Linked DNA regions of Macaca mulatta. The protein of the gene in region 2 interacts with the protein of the main gene of each other region in a pairwise test. Links are inferred from orthologs where the notes say so. Each region holds a gene or a part of one and is shown on either strand. Other genes may lie near its edges.

Region 1 (7,672 bases), on a different chromosome or scaffold from region 2:
CATTCTTTCCTCTTCTCCAAGCCAATGGAGTTTGCTGAGTGATGAAGACAGACATACTCCTTGTGTAGTTCCCTTGTCAATTATTGTGGTGTCAGCAGATTTTATGGGAGAAAGGATGAAGGAATGGACAGGCTCACTACTCAGAGCAATATTTGGATGCAATTGTGAGACTCCACTGGCACTACTTTAGGATCTGCAAGTTGAAGCAAGTTGCCCTGCTCTTAGGTAAGGGATTAACTAAATCAATTTTATCTAAATCAATTTGCACCGTTCAGATAATATGTTCATAAAGCAACCAAGTCACTCTGATTTACAGGAGTACTTCCCAGAGGTGGCCTTGCAAGGTACAACATGCCAGATGAGAATTCTAGTAGTCATGAAAACAAATAAGAGGGACACGACCACCCTTTCATGTCCCTAGCCTCTACCCATGTCCTGCACAGCCCCTCCGTGACCTAATCCTGGAGCTGCAAGTATGGAGTTTGGCCTGGAACAGGCAGGAGGCCAAAATACTGGGCTAAATCTGGGGCCTCAGCCCAATCAGCAGAGGTCCTCTGCAGATTATAGGTGCTTAATATTGTTGACTCTGCTACTAGGTGATAATTATGCTTATATAGCCATTCCCCAAATTATTTATGCCACTTTTCATTAGAAACTAACAAACTGCCCTCATATAGGCTAAAAATGGGTGAGGTTATGTCTTCAAATTAGTCTGACTCAGATTGTTAGGTTAGAGTGCATTAGATATGATTCAAGCCCCAACTTAAATGGTCATTATTACTCTGTATGCCTAGTTGTATGTATGTTTTCATTCAGTTGAACATGTATTGGAGACAAAACAGATTTAGGACCTAAGTACAATGATAAGATTTGACTCTGGGGGTGGGAGGCTAATAATGCTAAAGTAAGATTTTCAGTAAGCTAAGATTCCTACTTACACCCAGTCAATCCACTAACTCAGTAAAAGGTAAAGGAAGTGCTTTCTTTGAAAAGTATAATGTTGGCCGGCTGTGGTGGTTCGCACCTGTAATCCCAACACTTGGCTTTGGCAGGTGGATCCCTTAAGCTCAGGAGTTTGAGACCAGACTGGGAAACATGGTGAATCCTGTCTCTACAAAAAATTCAAAAATTAGCTAGGTGTGATGGTGTGTGCCTATAGTCCCAGCTACTAGGGAAGCTGAGATAGGAGGATTGCTTGAGCCAGAGAAGTCAAGACTGCAGCAAGCCATGATCACGCCACTGCACTCCAGCCTGGGTGACACAGCGAGACTTCATCTCAAAGGGGAAAAAAAATTATAATGCTGAGGGTTTACAGAACCCTTTCATCTTCAAAGGACCAAGTCAAGACTAACAATACCCAGTACACAATATTATAGCTTTTACACAAGTGCACCAACTAAGAAAGAAAAGTCATAGGAATGTCCTAAAGCCATAAGCCAATGTAACATCAGATTTGGGATGAACTCTGATCTTCTTGACTCCTGGACCTGTGTTTTAACCACTGCATTAGCTATTCTTGCATTGCCTTAAAGAAATACCTGAAACTGGGTAGTTTATAAATAAAAGAGGTAGGCTGGGCATTGTGGCTCTTGCCTATAATCCCAGCACTTGGTGAGGCCCTCAGATCGCTTGACCTCAGGAGTTCGAGACCAGCCTGAGCAATATGTCAAAACCCCATCTCTACAAAAAATACAAAAATTAGCTGGGTGTGGTGGCATGCACCTGTGGTCCCAACTACTCAAGATGCTGAGATAGAAGGATTGCTTAAGCCCGAGGCAAGACCCTTTCTCAAAAAAAAAAAAAAAAACAGAAAAGAAAAGAAAAAAAAGAAAAGAGGTTTAATTGGGTCACAGTTCTGCAGGCTGTACAGGAAGTGTGATGCCAGCATCTGCTTCTGAGGAGGACTCAGGAAGCTTACAATCATGGAGGGAGGCAAATGGGGAGCAGGAGATTCTCACATGGTGTGAGCAGAAGCAAGGGAGAAAGAGAGCTGGGGGGAAGTGCCGCACGCTTTTAAACAACCAGATCTCAGGAGAGATTACTCACTATCACAAGGACTCACAGTCAACCAAGGTGGTGGTGCTAAACCATTCATGAGAAATCTGCCCTCATGATCCAGTCACCTCCCATCAGGCCCCACCTCAACACTGGGGATTACATTTGTACATAAGATTTGGGCAGGGATAAATATCCAAACTTTATCAAACACATGAATCAAGTTGTGAGGAGCAATCAGGAGAAATCTAATTCACATTATATACCCATGTTAAGTTCATTGATTGGGCAGGAATATATAAAAATAGCAAAGACAGTTTCTCCCTCAGTACAGTCATGAGAGGAGACAGACAGGGGGATGTGAGTGTCGGGGGGGTGGGGAGGGGGAAGCTAACCATCTGGGGTAGAATGAAACCACTCCCCAAACAGAAGAAAAGTAGGGGAGGAGAACTCCCTATTCAGCAACTCCCTTCTATTGGAATATTGCCAGAGAACTGATTAGAGTACTGGGACGGAGCAGAATGGGGTTAAAGGCAGCCCTTCTGGCCCAAGTTGAGAATCAGAGGGATCAACCCACACACGGTACTTCTCTATTTAGTTTCCAATATATTCCTTTATAAGGGCTCATCCTCAGAGACACACAACCATCACCATCTATCCGCCCCACACTCAGAAATCCTCAAAAGGCAAAGTGGTTGAAGAAGTAAGATGCAGCATGGCTGGGAGGCTGGGAGGGCACAGGTTGATGGGGAAAGCCTGGGGTCCAAGGCGCTCTAGTGGGGGATTTCCATAGTCATGTAAGTGTTGTGACATAGGAAGGTGAGTGATCATGAAAACGGTAGGGGACAGTGGAAGAGACAGAGAAAGTAAAGAGTAAAACGACTCCAGGATTTCAATTTCCTGCTCTAAGAAGCAACACTTCTGAAAAATAATGTGCAACACACGAAGTGCTAAGTAACCTAAACCTTATCATCACCAGTAATATTCCTGTAAATCTACTCTGCTGTTATTTACTTAATTCTTACAAGGCAGGAATGGAAAATCCCCACTCTCCCTGGTTGCGTCGCAGTCTGTCCTGTGGACATATGTAAGTTTTCCCTCTCCCCCACAGAGCTGGTTTCACAGCTAGGCCAGAAATAAGGAACCATCCAGACGGAGACTCGAGGATCGCTCCCCTGGCAGAAAAGGGATTAAGTTTCACCGGGCCTCCCCGCCGGCAGGGCGTCCGCAGCCACGCCGGCTGCTGCGACAGCACCGCCCGGCAGACGGCCGGCCAAGGGGCGACGCCGGGGACGAAGAGGCTGCCGGCTGCGGGAGCGTGGGAAGGCGGCCGTGCCCTTTCCCAGACTCGCGCCCAGGCGCCGGAGGATTCGCTCGACTGCCCGCGCCCGGCCCGGCCCGGCTGCGCAGAGGCCTCGGCCGCCCCCGCCCCGCACCCCGGAGTGCAAACTCTGTCCCAGGAGGGCAGTGGCAGGAACCCGAGCCCCAACAGCATGACTGGGAGCCGGAGCTGATCTGGGGCCCCCGTCGCCGTCTCGAGCCTCGCGGGCCCCATCACCCTGCCCCGCCGAGCCCGAGAGCCCTCGGCTAACGCCGGGCCCCGGCGGCACCTGAAAAGCGGCCGGAGCCAGGGCCGAGCCCTGCGAGGGCGACGACGCTCGACCTCCAGGGCCGCGGCGAGGGGGCGCGTTTTACCCATAGCGTTCCCAGGTGCCAGCCATCTCCTCTGCTCGCTCGAGGGCGCTGGGCGCTCGTCTGCCTCCGCAGCGGGCTAGCTCGGGCTCCGGCGCGAGCTCCAGGGCCCCGGTCGCCGCCGCCGCCGCCGCCACCACTCTAGGCCGCCGCCCGCCTTCGCTGCAGCTGCCGCTACCGTCGCCGACGCCGCGCAGCAGCCGGGATCCGCCAGCCCGCGCGCCCCGCAGGGGATAGCACGGCGGCCGCGATGCTACCGCGGCTGGGTCTCCCGAGCTAAAGTTAAGAGTTTTCGCCCCTCAGTCCAGGGGCAGCACCATGACACCACGGCAGCACCACACTGTCATTTCCGCCGCCGCAGAGGAAAAAAAAAGGCAATCCCTTCCAAAAGGGAGGCGGAGTGGGGGCAAACGGGGTTGGGGCTGACACCCCAAGGGAGCACTGGGAAGGGCCAAAGAAGAAGGGGCGCTCGGACACCTTCCCAGGCTCACCTTCCGCCGCCCCCGCCACTCCCAGCTCCCCCAGCCCTTCCTCTGGAGGCACGTTTACATGTCTTCTCCCCTGGCAGGAGTGACCGGAGAAACCTGAGCAAGCAAAGGCAGCCGGTGGGTGGGGCTCGGGTTACTACTGTACCTACCAGCTGATTCCAGCAGCCTTTTCTCCAGCGCCCTGTCATCTTGAAGGAAGACACAGAGAGAGGGACCTGGGCGGGTGTGTGTGTGTGTATGTGTGTGTTGTGTGTGTGTGTGTGTGTGTGTGTGAGTGACAGAGCGACAGAGAGAGCAGAATGTGTGTGAAATGCAGAAGGAAGACTATGGCTAAACTCTTCTCCCACTCCCCACTCCTCTGTCCCCCAGCCCCACAAACCCCAGGTTAGAACAAGGAAGAGGCCTTTGCAACCGGTAATAAGAAGAGAGTGCCCGGGTCCACCGCACAGATCCTCTCCATGAAGCTGCTCTATGCAAAGTTAACTACAGAGTAAAACAAAAATAGTGGAGGAGATAGAAAAGGGCAGACAATTGAAGGAAACCCAACCCCTCTTTCTTTTTACAAAGAGAGAATGGCTGTGTTTTATTGGCCTCGGGCAGAAGTTGTGAAGGTGGATTAAAGCCATCAAAAGAAAAAAAAAAAGCAGGATTTTTCTTGTACCTTCAAATTGTTGACCAGTAAAACAAGAGGGTCGTTACCACAAGGACAATGAGGCAGATGCTAGCTATCCAGGTATTCCAGGTCCCTAATAAGCTAATTGGTCCATTTGGAATCCAGCATCCTCCCATTGGTCTGGAGTGACCCCCACTCAAAAGGTGGATGGGAGAGGGAAAGAGCAGGAAGCCCCATAAGAGACTCTGTTTCTAACTTGGGGCAAAAAGAGAGAACAAGGGGAAAGAAATGAGAAAATGAGAGGACCTGCCCCAGCGCGCGCGCGCGCGCGCGCGCACACACACACACACACACACACACACACACACACACACGCCTGCCATCATTGTGCATAAGAACAAGCCCAGAAAAATTGAGGTATCTCTTGGTATATCCCTTCAGGAAACCAATAGTAATCAGTCAACACTCCTGTGAAACAATGTGCTAGAGATCACTGAGGTGGAAACCAAGGCAAAAATCACAACCAGGCTGCCCTGATGAAAGTCTGGCCCCGGCCGGGCGCGGTGGCTCAAGCCTGTAATCCCAGCACTTTGGGAGGCCGAGACGGGTGGATCATGAGGTCAGGAGATCGAGACCATCCTGGCTAACACGGTGAAACCCCGTCTCTACTAAAAAATACAAAAAAACTAGCCAGGTGAGGTGGCGGGCGCCTGTAGTCCCAGCTACTCGGGAGGCTGAGGCAGGAGAATGGCGTGAACCCAGGAGGCGGAGCTTGCAGTGAGCTGAGATCCGGCCACTGCACTCCAGCCTGGGCGGCAGAGCGAGACTCCGTCTCAAAAAAAAAAAAAAAAAAAAAAAGTCTGGCCCCTAAGAGAAGTAAAAGGTAGTGAGTAACACCTAAAGTCCAGGCAACAAAAGCAAAAATAGGTAAATGGGACCATAAAACTTTCAAACATCTGCACAGGAAAGGACTCAATCAACAGAGTGAAAAAGCAACCTACAAAATGGTAGAAAACTTTTGCAAACCATATATCGGATAATGTGCTAATATCCAGAATGTATAAAGAACTTGTATAGCTCAATTAAAAAAAAAAAAAAAAAACCTCTTAAAAGTGGACAAAAGACTTGAATAGACATTTCTCCAAAGAAGATATACAAGTGGCCAACAGGCATATGCAAAGATGATCAACATCACTAATTGTCAGGGAAATGCAAGTCAAACCCCAATGAAATATCATTTCACATCCATTAGGATGGTCACTATAAAAATAAAAATTTAAAAATTTAAAAAAAAAAAAAACAGAAGAAAATACAGCAAGGTGTGGTTCACACTTGTAATTCCAGCTACTCAGGAGGGGATGCTAAGGCAAGAGAGTCACTTGAGGCCAGGAGTTAGAGATCAGCCTGGGTAACATGAAGAGAACGTGTCTACAAAAAATAAAATTAGAACAGAAAATAATAAGTGTTAACAAGGTTGTGGAGAAATTGGAACCCTTGAACACCATTGTAAAATGGTACAGACACTACCCAAGGGAATGTAAACTGGTGTAGCTGCTATGGAAAATAGGATGGAGGTTCCTCAAAAAATTAAAAATAGAACTACTATATGATTAAACAATCTCACTTCCAGGTATATAGCCAAGCAAATAGAAAACAGGATCTCAAAAAGATACTGGCAAACCCATGCTTATAGCAGCATCATTCAAGGGGTAGAAGCAAATTTAATGTCCATCAAGGGATGAATGGATAAAGAAAATATGGTATATACACACAAGGACATATTATTCAGCTTTAAAAAAAGAAGGAAATACTGTCACATGTTACAAAGTTGATGAACCTTGAGGACATTATGCTAAGTGAAATAAGCCAGTCACAAAAAGTCAAATATTCCATGATTCTACTTATATGACTGTCTAAAATAGTCAACTCATAGAAACAGAAAGTAGAATGCTGGTTGTCAGGGACTGCGAGGAGGGAAAAGGAAAGAGTTGTTCAGTGGGTGTGGAATTTCAGTCATGCAGGATGAGGGGGATGTTCTGGGGATCTGTTGCACAACAATGTGCATGTGGTTGACAATATTGTACTGTACACTTGAAAATTGTTGGAAGGATGAAGTTTATGTTATGTGGTTTTTGGCACAAAAATTATTTTTTTAAAAGTTAATGAGTCAGAAGTCTGCTGAACCCAGCCTAATAGAAGAGGGGATAAATAACCTATGTAGCCATTAAAATAATTATATATATGCATATGTATGATACACACACACACATATATATAAGAATCTCAGATATTATGAAATGAAAAAAGCAACGTGCAGAACTGAGTATGATTTCTTACTATTCGCGTAAAGAAGCAGGCAGGTATATGTCTATGAATGCTTGTATGAGCATAGACTCTTCTGAAAGATACCTAAGAAACTGGTTACACTGGTTGCCTGGGAGTCAAGCATAGGAGGAAGTATTTAACATTGCATATGCTCTTTTGTATTGTTTAAGTTTTTTATAATGTTCATGTATTACCTTTTCAAAAACAATTATGAGCAAGGAGCCTGGAGACAGAAAGTAAAGTGGAGGTCACCAGGAACTGAAGGGAGAGGAAATGAGGAATTATTATTTAAAGAATACAGAATTTCTGACTGGGATGATGAAATAATTCTGAAAATAGTGTTATGCAACATTGTGAATGTACTTAATGCCACTGAATTTTACACTCAAAAATAGTTAAAATAGTAACTCTTCGCTGGGTGCAATGGCTCACGCCTGTAATCCCAGCACTTTGGGAGGCCGAGGCAGGCGGATCACAAGGTCAGGAGATGGAGACCATCCTGGTCAACATGGTAAAACCCCGTCTCTACTAAAAATACAAAAATTAGCTGGGCGTGGTA
Region 2 (6,927 bases):
GAGGATGCTGGGAGCAACCCCGAGGGGAGGGACCCTGGCTCTGGGCCGGACTGTCCAGACTCAGACCAGCTCCACCGCCTGCGGGGTCTCGGACTGTCCAGACTCAGACCAGCTCCACCGCCTGCGGGGTCTCAGACAAGTCTGACTTTCGGTGCCTCGGTTCCCTCATCTGTGAAATGGGTGGCGAAGGGCAGAGGAGGGACAGGATCTCCCTTAGAGAGTTGTGAGGACTCGGCCGGGCGCGGTGGCTCACGCCTGTAATCCCAGCACTTTGGGAGGCCGAGACGGGCGGATCACGAGGTCAGGAGATCGAGACCATCCTGGCTAACACAGTGAAACCCCGTCTCTACTAAAAAATGCAAAGAAATTAGCCGGGCGAGGTGGCGGGCGCCTGTAGTCCCAGCTACTCGGGAGGCTGAGGCAGGAGAATGGTGGCAACCCGGGAGGCGGAGCTTGCAGTGAGCTGAGATCCGGCCACTGCACTCCAGCCTGGGCGGCAGAGCGAGACTCCGTCTCAAAAAAAAAAAAAAAAAAGAGAGTTGTGAGGACTCGCCGGGCGCGGTGGCTCAAGCCTGTCATCCCAGCACTTTGGGAGGCCGAGGCGGGCGGATCATGAGGTCAGGAGATCGAGACCATCCTGGCTAACACAGTGAAACTCCGTCTCTACTAACAATACAAAAAATTAGCCGGGCGTAGTGGTGCGCACCTGTAGTCCCAGCTACTCGGAGGCTGAGTCAGGAGAATGGCGTGAACCCGGGAGGCAGAGCTTGCCGTGAGCCGAGATCGTGCCACTGCACTCCAGCCTGGGCGACAGAGCGAGACTCCGTCTCAAAAAAAAAAAAAAAAAAAAAAGAGAGAGTTGTGAGGACTCAATGAGATCACCAAATGTTTCCAAAGCTCCACTCACAGCCAGCTCTGCTTGTTGCGCGTTTTCCCACCACTGCTATGACTAAAATGCCTTCTGATGATAACCAGTCGTCAATGTTTTCTTTTAGTCTGCTTTTAAAAACTGCAAACCTGTTTAGACAGCTTAATTTCATTACCACGAATGGGAGATTATTCAATAAAAATAAGTATGCAGTGATTAAAATAAAAACCACCGTCTTTGTGTCACTGAAATTCATGGTCTGTGCCACTGAAGGGAGATGACCTGTGTTCTAGGAGACATCAGGAGGATGATGTGAAACTCGCTGCCACAGAATCAAATGATACTGAAGATGACAGTCACAGGAATAACACTGGCAGCGGCTCCGCGTGGCAGAGAATTTCGCCTTGCCCAGGAAGAGGTTTGGCCTTTGCCCGGGGGTCCTGGGTGGCGGTCCTTGCTGGCTGGGGCCCTGGGGTAGCCACAGTGTGGTTTAGGGTGCCTGGGGCTGGCCACGCAGGAAAGCCCAACCACGTGGTTCAGCGTGGGGGCTCTGAGTTATGGGGCATCACCTGACCTGGAGACAGACCAGCCACACGGCAACACAGTCGTGTCTACACAGCAGAGCCACAATAAAGACTGAACACCACGGCCCAGGCAAGCGTCCCTGGCCCAGGCTTAAGTGCAGTGGTGCAATCTTGGCTCGCTGCAACCTCCGCCTCCCGGGCGCAAAGTATCCTCCCATCTCAGCCTCCCAAGTAGCTGGGATGACAGGCAAGCGCTGCCACACCGGGTTTTTTATTCTTGTAGAGACAGGGTGTTTCCAATCCCATTGGAATCAAGACAAAAAAAAGAGTCGGGGTCTCACTATGTTGCCCAGGTTAGTCTTCAACTTCTGGCCTCAAGTGATGCTCCCGCCTCGGCCTCGCAAAGTGCTGGGATTACGGGTGTGAGGCTGGCGGCCCTGTGTGTGCTGTCAGGCATCGATGCCGGGAGGGTGATGTGTCCTGACTGCGGGGAGAGGACACATCGCCCTCCGAGGTTGGTGACCTCTCCTGCTCCTCCTGTGTGTCTCTCCCTGTGGCTAATGTTAATCTGTTATACAGTCCCCAGCACAGCAGCCCTCAGGGGTTCCGTGTCTTTCCAGTGACGGTGGCCTTCGGAGCAGCTGCTAACCCGACGCTGCTTGTCGTGAGCTAGGCCTGCCTTGTGAGGGCCTCGTCTACATGGAGCCCTCGCCCCAACTCGTGAAGCAGGCGCTGTGCTCCCATTTTCGAGGGGAGGAGACTGAGGCACAGGGCACTCACGCCTCTTGCCCACAGTCACCCGACAGGTGTGCTGCAGAACCCTGGCTCTCACATCCCATGCTACCCTGTCCCCGGCTCCTGAGTGCTACTGTCAGCTGGGCCAGATGGTGGGGGTGGCTGCTCAGGCCGTCTGGGCAGGCGGAAGGCTCCAGGGGAGCCGGGGGAGGGGCTGTGACGCGGTGGGCTCACCGGGGGCAGGGACTGCACAATGTCACTGTGGTAGATGTAGCCGGTGTGGGGCAGCACTGAGGTAGACGAGAAGCCCGACAGCGTCTTGCGCTGGGCCCCGAGCAGCATGATGTTGCAGGCGGGCATCTTGGAGAGGTTGGTCAGGCCGCCGGCCACGCCTGCGGTGGGAGGAGGACAGGGGCGGTCAGAAGAAAGCGGGGGAGGCGGGGGTGCGCACATCTGCCTGGGGGCTCGACATGTGCCAAGCACCTTTACGTGAGGTTCTGGCTGGATTCCTCGGTGGCCCTGCCAGGCGGGCGACCTGGCCCATTCCGCGAGGGGCAGACGCAAAGGAGGCTCAGAGAGGGAGGGCAGCTGGCCTGGGGTGCAGGGAGGAGGCCCCCAACAGGCAACTGACCACCACGTTTGTGCTAAGCCACACTACCCCCATTCCAGGGATGTCTGTGTTTTGGAACCATTTTCACCAAACCAGGAGCCCCCTGACAACAGGGCCTGGGTGTGGTCATCTCTGGCTTTCCGGCACAGGGGAGGGAGGAGGAGCTGTGGGTGAGTGTTTCTCCCAGACGAGGCTTTGCTGTGTGCCAGGCTGGCTGACCTCTGTCACGTCCAGGGAGACGGGGTGTTGAGGCCCAGGTGCCAAAGTCCCCATTCTACAGAAAAGGGAAGCAGCTTCCCCCAGATCACAGTGTCAGCAGAGTCCCGCTCCATGGGACCCAGCCCAGGGCCTCACCCATGATCTTGGCGGCCGTGGACGCCCCAATAATGATGGAGAGGTTGGGCGCGATGAAGGACATCCGGGACTCCACGTACTCGTAGATGCGGTGCTTGGAGGCGTTCAGCTCCAGCGCCATGTCACAGGCCTCCTCCAGCCGCTCCAGCTCCTCCTCCGACAGCTGCTGCCTGCAGGGGCGGGTGGGCCCAGCCTCCTGGGTCTCCCGCCTGCTTGGTGCCCAGCACCCACCCTCTCAGTTGTGTGTGTGTGCACGTGTGTGTGTGTGTGTGTGTGTGCGTGTGTGTGTATGCCCACCTGCGTGGGTAGCTTCAGCCTAATCCCCAGTCCCACTGGCCCGGGCCCGGCGCCTCCCTCCAGCGGACATACCCCTGGGTGGTGGAGGCGGTGACGCTGACGACCATGATGGTGGCGTTGGTGAGGATCTGCTGCAGGTTCTCATTGTTCTTGCACTTGTCCAGGCTGTTGCCCAGCTCCTGGGCGCGAGCAGAGAAGACAGGGGAGGCTCAGGAACTCAGGAAGGCTTGAGAGCCTCTCTGGCCCTGCACCTACTCGGGTCTCTTCTCGGGGACACTGGGAAAGTCAGGGTCTCTACACTGGGGGCCTCTCCTGCCTCCACCGCCTGAAGCATCCACACCGTCTGCTCTGCTTTGGAAACGGAACCTGGGCAGAGCAGCGTCTGGGAAGACCGCGGCCTCACAAGCCTCTGCCTGTGTCGAGTCGGAGCACAAACCCGCGGCCTCGCTTCCCTGCGGGGGCTTCCCCCACCACCATCCTGATCCTTTCCCGGACACACGTGGGGACCGCCTCCTCTCCCTGCCCTCACCTGCATCCGCCCCTCTTTTCCGAAACCCTTCCTTGGCTTTCTCATAAGACCCAAAGGCTCAGTGTGATCCGACCTCTTCCGCGTCCCCTCCTTCCCCGCCTCACTTCCTCCCCGCTTGTTCCCTCTCCGGCTCTCCATACTTAACACATCTCTCTCCCCCAAATCTCCGCGTGCCTGCCCTGTGACGACCTTCGGATGTCAACTCCAATGCCACCGGCTCCGACCACAGCGGAAGCAGCGCGGGTCAGGCCAGCGGGGAAGCCCTCTCGGGAGACTGGGGTACGAGGGGAGCCCTGAGAAAGTCCCATCCAGGCTCCGTCCCTCTCACCCTGGGCAGAGCAGGCCACTGAGCCTCCGTCCACTCCTCTCCTTCACCTCCAGACCCCGAGGCCTCTGGGGGCGGGTCCAAGAGTGAGCCCTGCCTGCACCTTCACACCAGCAGAAGCACCGCTCCTCCTCTGCTCTCACCTTGACCGTGCGGATGTAATCCAGTGCATTGGGGACCAAGGACTCCAGTTCAGGGAATCTCTTCGAGTACTTATCCCGGATGAACTTATGGATGATGTCTAGGGTAAACGGGACAGGCGGGTGTCAGGTGAGACGGGAGGCAGACTCTGCTGGTTGGCCCTAACACCCACGTCCCCTTCTTCCTTTAGTAACTGAAGCCCTGGCTTGTAGCCTGGCATACGGGCACCAGCATACAGGCTCCATTTTTCAGCCGCCCTTACCGCTAGGTGTGACCAGGGGAATTAGTTCTGGTCTGTAAAATGTGAGCTGCAGTGACATGTTCTTAAAAAAAAGAAGTGCCTTGCTGGTGGGAATGCAGAGGCGACGGCTGGACGTGGGGCAGTCCCCTCGCACCACGAGGCAGGTGGCCGACCAACAAGATGGAAAGGGCTGGGGCCTTACGGGCAGCCAAGCGGCCACGCCGTCCCCGAGTGCTCGCTCAGACTCATACGCGAGGGAGCCACGCCGTCCCCGAGTGCTCGCTCAGACTCATACGTGAGGGAGAACACACTTCCTTCTTACTTACACCACTCCGTTACAGCAGGTGAACCTCGATCTGAGCTTGGGCTCAGCGGCAGGACCCTGGGAAAGGCCCGTGGGGAAGGGAGGGGGCATGAGGGGCGTCACAGGGGGCTGTCTCCGCCTGCCCCCAGCACTCACTCAGCTCGTTTTCGATCTCCACGGTCAGGTTGTTGGCATCCACGATGACGCGGTATTCAGGCGCTGCCTCCACCGGTCCCATCACTGTGAGGACACGGAGTGGCATGGGTGTGAGGATATAAATCCCTACCCCTTCTCAGGTCCCACAGCTGGGGGAGACGGAGGATGAGGCTGGGAAGGGTCAGGAAGGAGGGGCTGAAGAGTAAACCAGGGACAGGCTGACGTCTGCCTCCCAGATCCTGCAGCTGGAGGAGGCGGAGGACGAGGCTGGAGGGGGTCAGGAAGGAGGGGTTGAAGAGTAAAGCAGGCGACAGGCTGACATCTGCAGACATCCCTGAACTTGTGTTCCTGCCTCCAATCCCTCTCCCTCCACACCAGTCTAGACTTGACCCTACCTGCCCTGGAACTGACCGTCCGTCTGAAACCTCCTATGGCTCCCCATAGCCCCAAGGCTAATGACCAAGTCCCTAGACTGACATTCAAGGCCTGCCCAACTCCAGAAGCTCTGCAGGGACCAGTGCTGTGCCTGCGTTATCTACACCCACACCCGAGTACTCAGGACAGCACCTGGCACACAGGGAGCTGCCCAGTTCCTCTCTGCTGACTCAGCAACTCTGCGGTCTGGCCTCCCACCCTTCCCACCCCATCCTCTCATCCAGCCATAAAGGACTGGTCACAGTGCCCCAGACACCCACTCCTCCTGGCCTTTTTTTTTTGAGATGGAGTATCACTCTTGTTGCCCAGGCTAGAGTGTAGTGGCACGATCTCAGCTCACTGCAACCTCCGCCTCCTGGGTTCAAGTGATTCTCCTGCCTCAGCCTCCCAAGTAGTTGGGATTACAGGCGCCCGCCACCATGCCCCGCTAACTTGTTTTGTATTTTTAGTAGAGATGGGGTTTCACCATGTTGGGCAGGCTGATCTCGAACTCCCGACCTCAGGTGATCCACCAGCCTTGGCCACCCAGTGCTGGGACGACAGGCATGAGCCACCATGCAAGGCCCCTCTTGGCCTTTGCATATGCTGTTCCCTCTCCCCAGAGCATCCCTTACCCCATGTCTGTTTCTGGAAAACCCTTCTTTGTGCTTCAGTAATAAGAGGCCAGGCACAGTGGCTCACACCTGTAATCCCAGCACTTTGGGAGGCTGAGGCAGGAGAACTGCTTGAGCCCAGGAGTTCAAGAGCAACCTGGGCAACATAGGGAGACCCCATCTCTACAAATAATTAAAGAAAAAATAATTAGCCAGGCATGGTGGTGTATGCCTGTGGTCCTAACTGCCTGGGAGGCTGAGGCAGGAACACCTGAGCCCAGAAGGTCAAGGCTGCAGTGAGCTGCGATCGTGCCACTGCATTCTGGCCTGGGTGACAGAGTGAGACCCTGTCTCAAAAAACAAACAAAAAGATGTTGTGTTTAAATGTCATACAAATACTAACTGTCTGATGTCACCGCCAGTAGACAGCAGAGCTCAGACCTTACCCCAAGCAGGGTGGCTTCAGAATGTGTTCCTAACCCTGATGCTCAAAAGGCTCTTTAAGTCCTTAAGACTCCAGCAGTGACTCAGAATCCTTCCCTCCCTGTCTGGGAGGATCAGACGCCTCCTCCGTGTGCCCGCAGCACTCGTGCACCTCCAGTAAACGGGGACTGATCAGACGCGTCCTCCGTGTGCCCGCAGCACTCGTGCACCTCCAGTAAACGGGGACTGATCAGACGCGTCCTCCGTGTGCCCGCAGCACTCGTGCACCTCCAGTAAACGGGGACTGATCAGACGCGTCCTCCGTGTGCCCGCAGCACTCGTGCACCTCCAGTAAACGGGGACTGATCAGACGCGTCCTCCGTGTGCCCGCA

Evidence for each region.
Region 1: the proteins of PRPF31 (region 2) and MID2 interact in binary tests that used the Homo sapiens proteins (3 or more experiments, as listed by UniProt). The two-hybrid records come from large-scale screens. The link is inferred for Macaca mulatta from reciprocal best matches to the Homo sapiens genes PRPF31 and MID2.

What each region holds. Positions count from the first base shown.
Region 1 is NC_133426.1:114,594,683-114,602,354, reverse strand, and holds the start of MID2 (putative E3 ubiquitin-protein ligase MID2), read right to left. Parts: upstream 4,326-7,672; 5' UTR 3,695-4,325; coding exon 3,691-3,694; intron 1-3,690. UniProt on the Homo sapiens protein: E3 ubiquitin ligase that plays a role in microtubule stabilization. Mediates the 'Lys-48'-linked polyubiquitination of LRRK2 to drive its localization to microtubules and its proteasomal degradation in neurons.
Region 2 is NC_133424.1:66,349,060-66,355,986, reverse strand, and holds part of PRPF31 (U4/U6 small nuclear ribonucleoprotein Prp31), read right to left. Parts: intron 5,169-6,927; coding exon 5,085-5,168; intron 4,489-5,084; exon of another isoform or gene 4,484-4,488; coding exon 4,386-4,483; exon of another isoform or gene 4,299-4,385; intron 4,197-4,298; exon of another isoform or gene 3,568-4,196; coding exon 3,461-3,567; exon of another isoform or gene 3,262-3,460; coding exon 3,092-3,261; exon of another isoform or gene 2,797-3,091; intron 2,520-2,796; coding exon 2,362-2,519; intron 2,199-2,361; exon of another isoform or gene 1,746-2,198; intron 1,287-1,745; exon of another isoform or gene 1,162-1,286; intron 1-1,161. UniProt on the Homo sapiens protein: Involved in pre-mRNA splicing as component of the spliceosome. Required for the assembly of the U4/U5/U6 tri-snRNP complex, one of the building blocks of the spliceosome.